3 linked regions of the Saccharomyces cerevisiae S288C genome follow. Changing the gene in region 3 together with the main gene of any one other region gives a genetic interaction. Each region holds a gene or a part of one and is shown on either strand. Other genes may lie near its edges.

Region 1 (4,588 bases), on a different chromosome or scaffold from region 3:
CTAACAATACTAAAATCTCAAAAAATTCCGGTCATTTCCTCCGGTAAGGACTGGGATATTATTAAAAAATGTATTTGTTCAGGATTTGCTCATCAAGCAGCCAAAATAACAGGACTACGAAATTACGTTCATTTAAAAACTGGCGTAAGTGTTCAACTACACCCTACAAGTGCATTACACGGATTGGGGGATTTACCCCCTTACGTGGTATATCATGAATTATTAATGACTAGCAAAGAATACATTTGTTGTGTTACTTCTGTAGATCCATTCTGGTTAATGGAATATGGTGGGTTACTCTACGACATCAAGCGTATTAAAAATGATCAGGAGGCCACAACTACAGGCCTCTTTGGTGAACACTATGAACATACTCTGGACAAGGTTGAAGATGATATTGATATCAATATTAGGAGATGTAAGGATATGAGAGACAGTGTGATACAGGAGCTCAAAATGACCGACAATTCAAACAAAGAAGACAAAAAGCAAAAAACGAAAAAGCAAAATATACTGAACGGCAAAGAAAATTCAATGAAACCTTTCAAAAGAAGGAAGCCTTTTTTTTAGTTTATGGGAAGAGCGTGCTAATAGGCAAAATATTCATATATGTTATTATATAGTTATATGCATGCATAAAACAAAGGGTTATTTATTGGGTACAAAAGAAAAGAGCATAACTCGTGGAGTGCTTACATTGAGAAAAAACTTTTATAATAGTTACCCATACTGCTACAATCAGATTGTTCATAAATTTCATTAGCTTTTGGCAACCATTTCGACATATTCTCTATTCTACGAGTGCTTGCTGGATGTGTACTTAGAAACTCCATATTCACAACACCCCCTCTATTCATTTGCTTTTCAAAATTTGCCATTCTTTCCCACACTTTTATTGACTCCTGTGGTTGAAAACATGCCCTTGACATTATCATCAGGCCAATGTAATCAGCTTCGGTTTCCATCTGTCTTGATGCTGGCATTCGCAAAAACCCATCCAATAGTATATTGTTGATAGCATGAGCTCCAGTAACAGTATATAACACCAAACCCAAAAGAGAATATATAGGAGCCTTCGACAAATTTTCGGCTGTGTGTCTTGCTAGCTGATGAGCAAATTCGTGTGCTAAAACAGTGGCAATCCCATCATCATTAGCACAAATAGGTAAAATAGAGCTGAATATAAAGACCTTACCCCCTGGTAAAACGAATGCATTTGGTGAAGCAGTTGGATCATTGACCACATGAATTTCCCACTTGATTCCGTCCAGTAGTGAGTTGTCTACACTAGGGTCCTTATAAGCAGCTTCGACAATTTTCATGAAAATATTCTCAATTTTGATGGACAGCGGATGCTGTGGAGGTAATATTTCCTGCTGCGTTTGTCTCCAAATTGATTTGTATGTGTAATTTCCGATAGTTAACTCTAATGGACGCGATACCCAGATGAACCTGGACCTATCGCTTACCGGTGCTTTATCCAAATGTGTATAATAAAAGAGAGAGCATCCACCAAATAATAAAGCTAAGTATTTTCTTGATGACTTATCGAGAAGAATGCTTTTAAACGATGATTTTTGGGAATACTCTCCATTATTAAATCGACGATATGAAGGACCATTGTCATAGCGGTAACATCGCGTTAACTGAACACGAAATGATACAGGTTTTAAAAATCCTCCACTGGTCCCTTTTCCAAATCCTTTGAACCTGATGATGTTGCGTAACATTTCTTGTATTTTATCTTTCCATACCTTAACTTAGATTGGTTGATGTCGCTTCGAAAAACTGCTTTTTGTCTTTTAAGTTCTTTATATCGGACGTAGAAAGAAGTAGAAATAGTAATTTGGGTTACCCATATAAAACCAACTTATCTAAACATATATAAACGTATACGGAGGATTAGACCTCAAAAGACAATTCAGGTAGTTGATCAGTGGACACTTGACGGTCGCGGTTTTGTAGTTCTAAATATCTCTTCTTAGTCTTGAAGTATAAGAGCCATGCTGTAAGACTTAGGATTAATAATGTGATAATAATGCTTACCAAGTCAAATACCCTAGATCCTGTAGATTCAGATTCTGCGAGACTCTTTACACGAGAACCTATAAATAGATAGATGAACAGCTTTGGTGTGGTTATTATGTTGGCAATGGAAAAGTTGCGTACCGAGATACCGTAAACACCAGCTATGGCACCATTAGTCAAAGAATATGGGAAGGGACATAATCTCAGTAGAGCTAGAATCCAATAGCTATTGTTTTCTTGTAAAATTGAAGCCAATGCTTCAAATCTTCTATTCAAATGCACAAGCTTTTCTGCTCTTGAATGCAAGATCGTCTTGAACACAACGAAAGAGGCAATGGAACCTGTTACAGATCCCAAAGCTAGCGTAACCCATCCCTCAAAACTGACACCATAGATCAACCCAGTAGTGGTGGATAATAAGGAGTAGCCAATCATAGGAGGAAATGCGACAAAGAATATCAGAACCATTAATATAAAATGTGTTGACATCTTTTCTCTCAAATCGTTCGAAGTAACAACAACTTTATGTAAAATCGCATTATGGAAGACGAGCAACAATATACCCATTATCATTAGCATTATGCCGAGGAGGACAATGATAATCTGTTGCCATAAGCGTAGTGAATAAAAATAAAACTGTAATTTTTGAACATTCTTCCTGATATTATGCATCAATCTCTCTCTAGGGGACATATTATAAATGTCTAAAAAATCATCATCATTAACATTTACTTCGTCATTGAATGACAATCCAGCATTAGTACCAACCCTTTGTCCATTATTACTATTTGGCATGATATCGTTGTCAAAGTCTTCGAAATAGCCATCAAATTCATCATCCTCCCCTTGGCCCATATTGGCATTTCCTGCTTCGTAAGACTGACTCATTTGTGTAACCAATATCTTTCTTCCACCATAATAATATTTTCAAATATGTTGAAGGTATTGTTTTAGTAAAGTGGCTTTTTTTCTTAGTGCAGCTCGAGAGAAAACAATGATTTCGATTTCCGCTTTGAAAATGATATGAATGAGAAAGGCCATTCGAATAAATACATAGATGAAAAAGAATATCTAGAGGATATATAAGCAAGCCCGTGTTTTCTTATTGAGTAAAACTGGTGGTGCTTTTGTGCTGCGTTGAAGAAGAAGGCCTCGATCGAAACGGTGAGCTCTTTGTAGCTTGAGAAGGGGGTCTTCCATCAATGCTATGACGCCTGAAATTGCCCGCTAAATCACTATGAATCATTGCGTCTGAATCGAAGTTACTTATCAGTCTCAATGTAGGATGGTCTTCTTTATCCGAATCTGTGTATAATATGTTGCTACTGCTGACCCATTTTTTGTTCATATGCCTCAAGTATCTACTCTTTCGGCCAAAATGCAATTTCTTGTCTACCATGGCAGGTGTTTCAATGCTGGCAGAATGTGGGATAAGTTCATGGCTTTCCGGGTCATAGGTCTTGGCATCCATAGGAAACATTAGCCGGCCCATACTTGTTTTTTTCTGCAGAATTGGCGGTGGGTGTCCATTGATTTTGCTGGATTGCCTCAACATCCTTGATGTGGGAGAAGCAACTGAAAATGAAAAGGATTTGGCTGGTCGCCTTGAAGTTGAAATAGTATCTGATTTCCTTCTTTGGTGACGCGGATTGAGAGAAGCGGACGTAATGGAATACCGCGGTCTAAACCCGGAAGGTGACCGCCCATATGTGCTTGCATTCTCACGTAACAATAGCAAAGAGTTTGTCGATTCTGATTCTAATAAGTTGTCATCTAAAACATTGGAAATATGATTGTCACCCTTGGTTGGAGTCCTAGTTAGCAATGTTGAATTTTCTGGGTTTTTGGACTCATCTGACGTTTGCTCTGGAGCTTTAATTAATCCAATGACTGAATCAGCAAATTGGAAGGGGGTTTTTAAAGAGGAGGTGACAATCATCCTACCTTTGATATAAGAAATCGCCTTATCCAGAGCAAATTCCTGGCCACAGTGATTTTGAATAATGGAAACCTTGGGCCACGTAGCTTTTGCACCATTGGTGATTTCCCTTAATAAAAATTCTTTTGTTGGGTTTGACAACAGCTCCTTTATTCTAAAAAGCATACACATGTCGGGCAAAATAGTGATGTCACCAGAATATTGTTGAGATAATACCGATCTCAGTTTTGTAAGCGCGTTTTTGGCAATTCCCATCTCACTTCCAATTTCTAGAATATGAATAGCTTCATTGGCCATAAAATTGTATATACTTGATAAGTTTTGCTTTAATCTTGCACTAAATTCGTCCTCAATTTCCCCGCCAACACAGGATAGTGATAGTTTCAAAAAGGGAAATACGTGAATATTCACCTGGCATGCGATAATATGGTCTACATTAAACATTTCAGAAAGACGAGAAATGGGCAAGTCATTGTCCACAGAACCATCGACAAATTTGACCGAACTACTACCAGTCCATGGTTTCCTTTCTCCCGTTTTTGGATCTTTTTCGTAAAGTGGGCTCGAGGGGAAAATTCCCGGTAGTGAACATGATGCACATACGGCGGACCAAATCAGGAC
Region 2 (6,082 bases), on a different chromosome or scaffold from region 3:
CCAAAACAATGGATTATTTAAGGGCTAGAGAATGGAGAAACATGTATACTGTGAGTTCTACTGAGTCAAGATTAACATGGCTCTCATTACTAATTATGGGGGTAATGGTTGGTATCAGTATAGTGCAGGCATTAATTATTCAGTTCTTTTTTACCAGTCGCCAAAAAAACTACGTATAGGTTGCTTTTCAAGCTCTTAAAATTGTTGGATCAGCTGTGCTAAGGGGAAGGCACTTTTTTGTATCATGATCCTATTTTTTTTGTTATTTAATTATTTATGACATACCTTTATACTTTAGTTTTCAAAAATCCAATAATAGATAGGCAAGGTTTACGGAAAAGAGTGGAGTGCAAAATAAATAGAGGAAAGGCAGAAGGAAGAAGGAAAGCGAAAAGAAAAACGAAGATATATTTGGAGAAAAGTATAGAAATAATAAAATGAAGACACATCGATTGAAGTATGCTCAAATGATGAGAAAAAGAGACCTTTATCTCAGGCCACAAACAACCATTGTCCAAGTGGCTTATCTTTGCTATAGTTTTGTTCGAATATTCGGGGATTCTATCTTTGGTTTCTTCAACAAGTTGACCCCATTTACCAGTTCTTTTTTGCTCTTCATATACTGCTGCTCTTTTGAAATGTGGCATGCCCTAAACTTCCTCACTTCTTCGAGCTTGTAATGAATTGCTGTTTCACTGTATCTCGCTGTCACAATCATTTTCGTTCTCTTCATTTAATGTGTTATTCTCACTTGCTGTGTTGAAACTGTTTCTTAATTCTGGGTTTTTGATTGTGTATTGGTCCTTATCATTGTTAATCCTTAGATTTTTTACATATTCTTCAAGTTTGCTCCAATTTTCTTCACGTTGCACCTTACGCTGTTGAGTTTCTTTTACACTTGATAAGTACAATGCATTACAGTTTTCGTACAATACTGGGTTTGTTTCCAGAAAAATTTTCAATGCCTTGAATGCCATAGCATGAATTGCCCTATTCCACGAACCAGAATTGATTGCTTGCTCAACAAGCATGTAAGGGTCTGAAATGCTATCTTCGCCATTTGCTGTATCTAGCTCTAACTGAGAAGTTAATTCATATAATGCAGGAAATATAATGGGTAGGATGACTTCGGCATTTTCGATACATAAGTTTAAGAAATATTCATTATTCCAATAACTTAAAACCTTTTCCGCCACTTGGAAATGTGGAGAAGAAATACACTTAGCTAATTGAACAAATAACGGAACTTCTACTTTAATAAATTCCAGCGGTTCGATCACTTCAAAAATATCCTCGATTTCATTTAGAAACATTATCTCTTTTGTGGAATTTATTTTTGGCCAATAACGCAGTAAGCCCATAACTACCTCTTCGGTTAATAAAGGATCTTTTTCGAGAAATTGAACGATACAGTAAGCCAACTGAGGGTGGTATAATGATAAACAACGGACCTTGTGTAATGGTATCAATATCCTCACCAAGAAAACCTTGTGCTCTTCCTTTAATGGAAGTGCAAATCCATTAATTATGGAACCCAAAATTTCTAACAATTCTGCCACACCGTTAAACTTCTCAGTCTCATAAATAAATTGCAAAAAAATATTATTCATCGACCGACGAATAAAGCTTCTTAATGATAAGAACTTCCCATATATTCTATGCAGTGTCGTTTTCAAACAGTCTCTTTCTCTGATATCTTCGCTATCAAATAATTCCAGTAACTTTAAAATAAAGTCCTGATCAATATATTGTTTAGCAATCTGATGATTGAAATCAGGACTTTCCACAAACCTTAAAAAGAATTCGTAAACAGCTTGCATATGAGGCCAGGCTAGTTCGTTAACAGGTTCATCTTCATCTGGGTCATAAATGTCACCAACTGGATTTACTGGTGGTGGAATAGGTCTAAACAGATTGATTTTGAACATGTTCACCACATGAGCGTACATCTCATTCGTGTAAGTGAACCTATTTGTTACAAGGAATTCTATTAGCTCATCTAAGGTGCTTCTTTTAATCTCTTTACCTTGAATGTCAAAACTTGGATCATTAAAGTCAAACATAGTGTTACACTGGTCAACTTTGGCAATGAACAAAGGGATTCTTTCTTCAGGAGAAACTTCATTAAAATTTGGCAATTTCGTTAATGGCGTATATCTAGATGGCTCGAATCTAGATGAAGAATGACGTTGGGGAGTCTTAATTAACTCTAAATCTGTGTCAGGGTTAAGTTTTGTGGGTGTTGGTAGTCTCTCAAATGAGTGTGATGATCTCGGAATGTCGATACTTTGTGAGGAGGCGTGGTTTGCATCCTGAGTATTACTAGTATTAATATTCATATTGTTATTATTACTATTACCATTTTCTACATCAGAAGAAACTGCTGTACCTGAAGCATTTGAAATGGGAGATGATGGAACAGCGGATACTGCCCCCAGCAAAGTAGGATGTGCATGATCTTCACCAGAAGTGCTTTTGTCGTCCTTAGTAACAGTGAGTACTGGAGTGGGGTTCATTATAGCGGCAGATGATGAAGAAGATCCTTGCTTTTGAGATTGTGATGGCTGTTGCGATTGTTTGGACTGTTCTTGTCCTTTTCTTGAACTTGTTTTCTTTGTGGAGCTTGAACCGGAGCGACTGACACTTGAACTTCTACTGCTACTGCTGCTGGAAGAAGGGGTCGTCGCTGTTTTTGTTTTTGATGTAGAGCTACTATGATGCTTCCCTTGCGAGGGAACACTACCAGATTGCTTGCCCTTCTCAGTTGTAGACTTTGATCCGGTACTGCTGGCAGAACTGTGAGTAGTCCCGTGGGAAGAGCTACTAGCCGAAGCGGGCTTCTTTGATGTGGATGAGGTAGTGGAACTTTTTTCTTTTTCCTTCTCTTTGTCCTTCTTTTTACTGCTTGAAGAAGAAGAAGACCCGGTGGTCTTCTTTATTAATCTTTGCTTGAAACCACGCATCATATTGAAAGTGGATGTTCGAAAATAGCACGTGCCTATTGATCTTAATAAGTAGAACTTTTATACAAAATAAAAAAGCCAGTTAAAGACGGTATTGAGGTGAACAGGTATATGGAGAAGGGTTTATATTTTTATCTAACAAAAAAAGGAAAAAAAAGCAAAATCGAGGGGGGAAGGAAATGAAACCCAAAATACTTACGGCGACGATGGTTTATCCTTGAAATGAAGAGTTTTCCAATGAAGAAACGAGACGTATTGACATGCCTACCAATTGAAGTGGAAAACAAAGCGTAGTTTCACATACTCTTTGATAATCAATTGTCTGATACTTTTTTTTTTCCTTTCTCGCAGCCGGGATAGGGGGTTGTGACCCGGCAAAAAATGTTGGTCTAAGTTTTATTGTTGCTATATGCTCCATACATACAATAAATGTCTATAAAATTTTTAGAAGAAAATCAGGCGTGAAAGATGGTGTCTGCATCTTTGTGGTAGAGCATCAAGTAGGCCGTGAATCCCTTCCCCTGCGGATCGGGTTCTCCTTTGGAGTTCACTTCTCCAACCCCGAACTGAAACACCAAATAGGTTTTGAAACCGAAATATTCGTACACAGATCTTGCGTGCTCCGAAATAGCCTCGAGAGCAAGGGCGCAATTGGCCTTGTCTGCTTTGGTTTTATATTTTTCGAGTATTTTTCTGACTGAACCTCTAATTTCGGGATGGCTAGGATCTTTTCCGATGGCATAAAGGTAGTAATAGTCCATTCCCAGAGGCATGACTTCGTGCTTCCTCACAGTCAAGTCGTGAAAAAAAAATCTTATTGAAAGACTCGTCGTCAGATAGTGTAGCAGGCAAGTGGCACCCAGGGCGGCTCCATATTGCGACTGCATCGAAATCATTTGCCTCAGCAATTTCACCATCCAAGTCATGGTAGCACGTCGTGTAGTAATGTATCATTGCATTTATTCTTGCCCTTGAAACTTTTTCAGTGATTGGGATATGGAAGAACTTTTTCATCAAGTAGTCATTTGCGTATGACTTTTCGAATGCCTTAAACAAAGTTTTCGAAGCCTTCTCTACATCGCTTGTCAAGTTTACCGCCAAAGAGGATTCTTCATTGATCGATGATGCTACCATTATCAAAACTATTGATTTGTTTTCAACGTTCTGATTAGTATTTTTGTCACTGCCTTTTTCTATTGTTTCTTTTTTTGCATTTCTTATAGTAACATAAAAAACACAGGAAAAAAAACGTCGTTTATTATATCAGGAGTAAAGGATTTCTGCCCAAAATGTCAGGAAAATTACGATATAAAACGTACTATAAGATAACAAGCGGCTGAATAATTTCTGAGGTCAGAACCATAAGGGTACTGAAATACTATGTGCTAGATTTTTTATTTATTTTCTTTTTCTGATTGATTATCGTTTGGTTAAAATCAGTATGATATTATATATGACTTGCTTTATAATATATCAAACCGACATAAAAAATTATCCTACTCAAAAAAGATCATGGTTGTCCCCGCGTTTCACTTCTGTTATACCATGCAAATTTTTATATCAAATGAGTAATTCTTTCATTTCTTTCGGGACCCTTTACGAAGTAGTTGTTATATCTCCACTGGCAAGGCCACGAACTGACAAAAAAGGCATGATATAAATTGTGAGAAATTGTGAGTTAATTTAATAATTATGCGACGAGATGATAGAAAGGTAAAGACGACTTTTTGAGCCGGATCTGTTTACGTCAGTAAATTCTCGCGCCCCAAGACGTTATGAGGCATAAAATTTATTGCGTTCAGTTTTCTAAAGAGCTCACTATCGGTGATAGAAATCTTTCTTTTTTATTATCTTCTTGTCAGTAGTAATGTATAAGCACCAATATTGAAATGTCCAATTTTTTCGGCTCTTCCCAAGAACTTCAAGAGAGCAGTAGTATGGAAGAAAGTATTGTGAATGATACACAAAACGGTTTAAATACTCCAATATTTCAAAATGAAAGAAATTGAAAACCGATTTTGCCATTAATAATGATTGCTTATTATCCTTTAGTGAAGAAGTTTGTATTGAACTTCAAAGCTGATTGAAAAATCATTATATTTGAACACGTCGTGAGAAGACATGTGTCCAAGTGCATAGTTATTTAAGGCTTCTACGCTGCTTTGTCCTTTTATTACACATTATAATGAGTCTTCAAGATATTTGACTCAGTATGTATAAGAGAATGCTTCCATTGAGATAGTAAGATGATACGTATTGTTACAATACTTGATAATAAGATGCGTTAAAATATTAGTTAAAATGTTAGCTAAAGTTGTACAATTATTCAAGTCGGTGGAACAATAACACTCATTTTATATTTAATTTGTAGGCTGGTTAAATTTAATAACACTTCTTAGGGCTCTATTTTTATGAACAGGACATCATATTATGTAGGCAATAACTTCCGAACTTCGTAATTGATTTAATTGATAATACGACCTATCGTGAATATGCTAAAAGTTCTTTTCGAGGATATAGAGATTCTCGAAGAGAGAGAGATATTCTAAATAACAATATACATATATATATATATATATATATATATATATATTCCTTTCTTGCTTCTTTTTTGTACATTATGTAACTATATTTCTTTCTCATTCCAAATATTCAAATGTACAGGTATTTAATACCGCCTCAATTGATTTAGCGGTATTTTATTTTCTAACAGCTTAGTTATAATACTAAATATACAAAATATATTAGAAGCTCTTTCTCAAGGATATAGGAACCTGCCAAGGAAACCCATATTTCCACATAATGTTACTATTATTATTTCTTCTATTTTTTATGTTGTCATTCATTATCCTATTACATTATTAAATCTTGCATTTCAGCTTCCATTAAATCAGATGACTGTTTTCAATCCTTTTTTATCTTTCTACTCCGTCTACCACAATATAATAGCTTATGAATACTCGCCGGTAGATTATAGTCGATTCTTATTCCAATAGTTTGTTCCTCCAATGACGTTATAACTAATCATAAAGCAATATAGCTAAATTAGGTACCTAATCTTAAAAGATTTTCAGATTTAAACTAATCCTTGTTGCCTATCTTAATTTGAATATTTCTGT
Region 3 (4,523 bases):
ATCTTATAATGGGCGCACGATTTATTTTATTTTAATTAATTTTTTAGTTATTTCGTATCGTACTAACAACTAAGATATTCAAGTCTCTTCAAGTATATAAGGAGTTAGGGCAGAAGTAGGTGATGACAGCACTAGATTCTCGAAACTGGGGATTGACACCCGCTATGGAAACGGGCTTGTTCCAGAAACCACAGGACCGTATCTTTATAATAGAGCTGGAAAATTCCATAGTGTCATTCATAAACTCAAACACAGAATCATTTCAGCTAAGACCGATGAATTCATATTATAGGCTTCTATCGCACCAAATAGCTGAGTACCACAACTTGAACCATGTTTTGGCAAGAACTCAAGATAGTTGTGTGATTCTTTTCAAAGGTGAGAATTTCCAAAAGATTGAAGGAAAGCCACTCTTACAAGAGTTGCAGCTGAACAAAAAACCGGAAGAGTGTGCTTCCTCAAGTGAGAGTATTGAAAAATCGAACAATAACAGAATATTTCGAATCTTAAAGCGGAAAGAGGTAGGTAACGAGTGCGATTATAAAATCGATGGCAATACACGTACACCAAATAGCAATTTGACAGCCAATTCAAATAAGGACCAAAAAATCGAAATCGATGATAAATCTAGTACTGATTTGGAACAAGAAAGAATTGAGAAGGAAAGACTTTATGAACAACGTAAACAAGAAATTTTTGATAAGCTCAACAAGAGTGAAGACGATGTAAAGTCAACCAACAGTAGCGGTAGTAGTGATAGTGACAATGAATGGAGTGATTGGTTGAACGGAGATGACTCTAACACACAAACTAGTAACGGTTCAGTTAGCTCTTCATCACCATTCAATTCATCTGTGACGACGATACAAGTAAACAAACCTCAACAACAATTTTATGATAGTCGAAGAGGAAGAGGAGGAAGAAGAAGAGGAACAAACAATTACAAAGATGCCTATAGAGGCCAAAGTCGTCGGAATAAAGAAAACGGCGGTTACCAATCGGGATATTCTTCGCCATATCTTGTGTATCCTCCTCCCCAAATGGGTGGCAATAGTCTGCCAACCTACCCTCTAATGTATAACCCCGCTGGTCCTGCCCCCGGTCCTGCACCTTCACCCATGGTAATGGGCAATAACACAGTCTTCATGAACCCTTACATGTACAATATGAATCCCCAAGGGTCCTGTTCGTTTGGCACCCCAATCCCTATGTATCCCCCATACCAATATCAATATCAATACCAATATAACACTCAGTATCACAGCGGGCCATATAGCAATACACCAAGCTATAATTCTAACAATTACACAAGATCCTCAGCAAATAAGTACCACCATTTTCAAGGAAAAAATTCATATTCTGGTGCGATTCCGAAACGTAGTGATGACAGTAACAGTAATAAGAATGAGGGAATTCGTAGGGCTAGTGTTGAGGGTTCGCCGTCATCTAGGGATACTGATTCGGTAGAGATGAAATTTGATAAATTAAACATTTAGCGTGAGGAGTGAACTATACATAGCGAAAAAATTACGTAACGGTTTATAGAAATTCTAGTATGAGAACAGTAATATATGAGAAAAAGTTGTTTTCACTTTGTGTTCGAAAAAATAAGTATTTGAAAACGAAAAAATAGTTTGTATGTTTGTATATAAGTTGTTATTATCAAAAATTAGAGGGAAAAAGTAACTAAATATATATTAAAAAAAAAAAAAAAATAAATGTATGTTGGAATGAAATAGCGTAGTAAGGATAAAGGTGTAATAGATATATATTATAAGAAATAATCCGGTGTCTTCCTGGTGACGGTTGGTTCACCGGGTCTCACAGATGGATCGTATTGTAAGAATTGCCTATTATGGTTTTCATCCACCTCCATAATAGCGGCCTGGTTACCACATCTATAACAATAATTTGGAGCACTGAAAATGGTGACAACATTTTGCTGGTGAGACCAAGAATATCCTTCCATTACCAATTGGTGAGCTCTTGCTATTAGTGATAGGTCATTAGTGTGATTGAATTGCTCACTGATGTCTTGACCAAAAGTGAAGCCTGCACCTCTCGGACTGATTCCCCATCCGCCTCTATCATCAGGATCGGACCATAGAAGGTCACACATTGGACCTTCGTGAGGCACTTCCTGTATTCTATTTAAATCTCTAACTTGATCTATTGTCTCTATCATGGGTGAGAGACCTCCATGCAAACAGAAGATTTTATTATCCACCAAGGCAGTAACGGGGAAATAATCGAATAGATCGGTAAACATTTTCCACACGTTCGCACTGCCGTACTTTCTCAAACATTCGTCATAAAACCCATATACTTGGGTAATCTGCCTAGACTCGTGATTGCCCCTAAGTATAGTAATTCTATGTGGATATCTGACTTTCATGGCAACTAGGTAAGATACGGTCTCAACAGAATAATATCCTCTATCCACGTAATCACCCATGAAAAGGTAATTGGTGTCAGGACAAGGACCACCAATCTTGAAAAGTTCTAACAAGTCATGGAATTGACCGTGTACGTCACCACAAATGGTAACAGGCACGTTAATTGGTTTAACATTCTCCTCGAACTGCAACACGTCCACCGCCATTTTACATAGTCGTGCTACATCGTCTTCTGATAGTGGCTCGCATTTACTCAAATGCTCAATCCATTGGTCAAGCTGATTTATATTTGTATTGGTCAGTTTTAGTGGTTTGGAGGATTTATGATCTGCTATACCCGAGGACCCCGGTTTAAAATTAAAATCTTCCAACTCTTCATCTGTGTCTTCGTCATTAGAACGCGCCTTCGTATTATTTTTGCCGTCATCACTATTCATGTCTTCGTCGAGAGTCGGTGATAATTGATCTTCATCTGAACCATGCATAGGGTCATCAATTTCCATATCCATTTTTTTCGAATGAAAGCCAGTTATACAGAAGTGCCAATAATATAAAATTCAAAAAAAGACGTAACAGGAACAATAACCGGAAAGGAAAGAGAGCAGGTAGGACAAGAAGTAAACGGGTTTGCGTGTTCTTGTTCGAACACTGTTTTGCAGCGGGCTGGTACCTTAAGAAGTTTGCTCTAGTTACAGCCCTTCAATTGGTTTTATAAAATGGGGATGTCCCTTTGAAACTTTCCACGACTCTTTTCCACAATTCAGCGGAAAAGAAAATAATAACCTCTTCTAGATTACCCGGTCATGTCAGGGTAATACACGATTGTATTTCAAAGTGCACAACGACTATTGTTGTCGTATAAGCTTTTGGATTAATCTTAGCATTAATTGATACATAATTCCGCAAGAAGAAGTTTTAGGAGAATAGAGTTTCGCTTCTTTTATTAATATTCTGTCCTGTGTCACAAAATATTGTAATAATTTGGTGCGGTGTATGGGTTCAAGTTCCCAAAAAAACAACTAATTTGCGACACTTCGTAGTTCTGTGCTTTTATATGGAATATACTTGTGGACTCTATTCCTGGATGTAGATTTGCTTACAGATAGCCAAGAAATATTAGAAAAATATGCAGTGTAACACAAGTATAGAAGATGGTTTAGATGGGGGCGACATAACTTTCCCATCCTACAGCCCTGAAGCGGAGGCTCAAAACAGATTCTTACCAAGAAGTGAGTTCCCCTCTGTGAGGCAACTCGTGATTTCGAAACAAAAAAGCAGAAGAAGAAGAGAAGAAAATGTATTTGTGGGAAAAATGGAGGACGTACTTGTAAAATGGAGGCCACCTGCATCTTCACATCGTGGCGCAATTGAAGCTATTAATGGCACGCATCCATATCAGCTTAGCACAGCACAATTCAACTCGAGAAGATCGGATCCATTTGGTTCAACAAAGAGAGATGAATCCGTGCGTTCCATTGTAGAATCGTTTACCGATTGGTGGAAACGCAATTCCAAAATGTTTTTTCGTGACGAGGAAGAAGGTGTACGAACCGAACACAGTGCGAGTCAAGATGACCAAGAGTTGCAGCTTTTCGAAGAAGATCTCTTCTCATTTCACCTAAGCCCAAATGATATGTCAACCAGGAACAGCGAACATCAAGTGCAAACACCGGTGCTTTTCCCGTACGAAGCTCCTACTCGAACAAAACAAAACCCAGCAGAAAGAAAAGTCATTGAAATTGGGGACGGCGAAGAACTCTCTATCTATCGAGATGTTTATTCCAATCCTATTCCTGTCAGCTACCTAGATACCTTAAACTTGAACCACTCCATGTCTGTACGGCAAACACAACAGCAACAACAACAGCGGCAACAGCAGCAGTATGTAGACTCTTCATCGGCATTTCAATGCTGTACAGACTCCAATTGGGCGAGAATATTTTTTTGCCACCACGATTAGACTCCACTTTGCTTCTATAGTCCTATCTATTGTTCTTTTTATTCCTAGCATAACCTTATTGTATTGTTCTTTTTCTTTTTCCTTTTTCTTTTTTTTTTTTTTTTTTTTTTTTTTTTCACATCTTTTTCCACGGCCGCTCAAAGGGGTCTCACACTGGATTAAAAGCT

What was found. Genes that interact genetically often act in the same process or in processes that back each other up.
Region 1: of PPH22 (region 3) and OMA1, a mutation in one rescues a mutant of the other (synthetic rescue), as found in Saccharomyces cerevisiae (one study listed by BioGRID).
Region 2: mutations in PPH22 (region 3) and RTS1 together harm fitness more than expected from each alone (negative genetic interaction), as found in Saccharomyces cerevisiae (3 studies listed by BioGRID, with this or other methods).

The regions. Positions count from the first base shown.
Region 1 is NC_001143.9:602,503-607,090, forward strand, and holds OMA1 (metalloendopeptidase), read right to left. Parts: upstream 1,731-4,588; coding exon 693-1,730; downstream 1-692. Other genes in the region: DEAH-box RNA helicase PRP16, read left to right, coding at 1-570; TVP38 (Tvp38p), read right to left, coding at 1,903-2,916; TGL4 (triacylglycerol lipase), read right to left, coding at 3,131-4,588. UniProt on the Saccharomyces cerevisiae protein: Protease that is part of the quality control system in the inner membrane of mitochondria. Activated in response to various mitochondrial stress, leading to the proteolytic cleavage of target proteins, such as OXA1 and COX1.
Region 2 is NC_001147.6:354,558-360,639, reverse strand, and holds RTS1 (protein phosphatase 2A regulatory subunit RTS1), read right to left. Parts: upstream 2,967-6,082; coding exon 693-2,966; downstream 1-692. Other genes in the region: ERP4 (Erp4p), read left to right, coding at 1-179; YOR015W (uncharacterized protein), read right to left, coding at 288-647; YOR012W (uncharacterized protein), read right to left, coding at 3,684-4,097; YOR011W-A (uncharacterized protein), read right to left, coding at 4,782-4,988. UniProt on the Saccharomyces cerevisiae protein: The B regulatory subunit might modulate substrate selectivity and catalytic activity, and might also direct the localization of the catalytic enzyme to a particular subcellular compartment. Multicopy suppressor of ROX3 and HSP60.
Region 3 is NC_001136.10:122,094-126,616, forward strand, and holds PPH22 (phosphoprotein phosphatase 2A catalytic subunit PPH22), read right to left. Parts: upstream 2,906-4,523; coding exon 1,772-2,905; downstream 1-1,771. Other genes in the region: RBS1 (Rbs1p), read left to right, coding at 123-1,496; YDL186W (uncharacterized protein), read left to right, coding at 3,523-4,356. UniProt on the Saccharomyces cerevisiae protein: Exact function not known, phosphatase 2A performs an essential cellular function.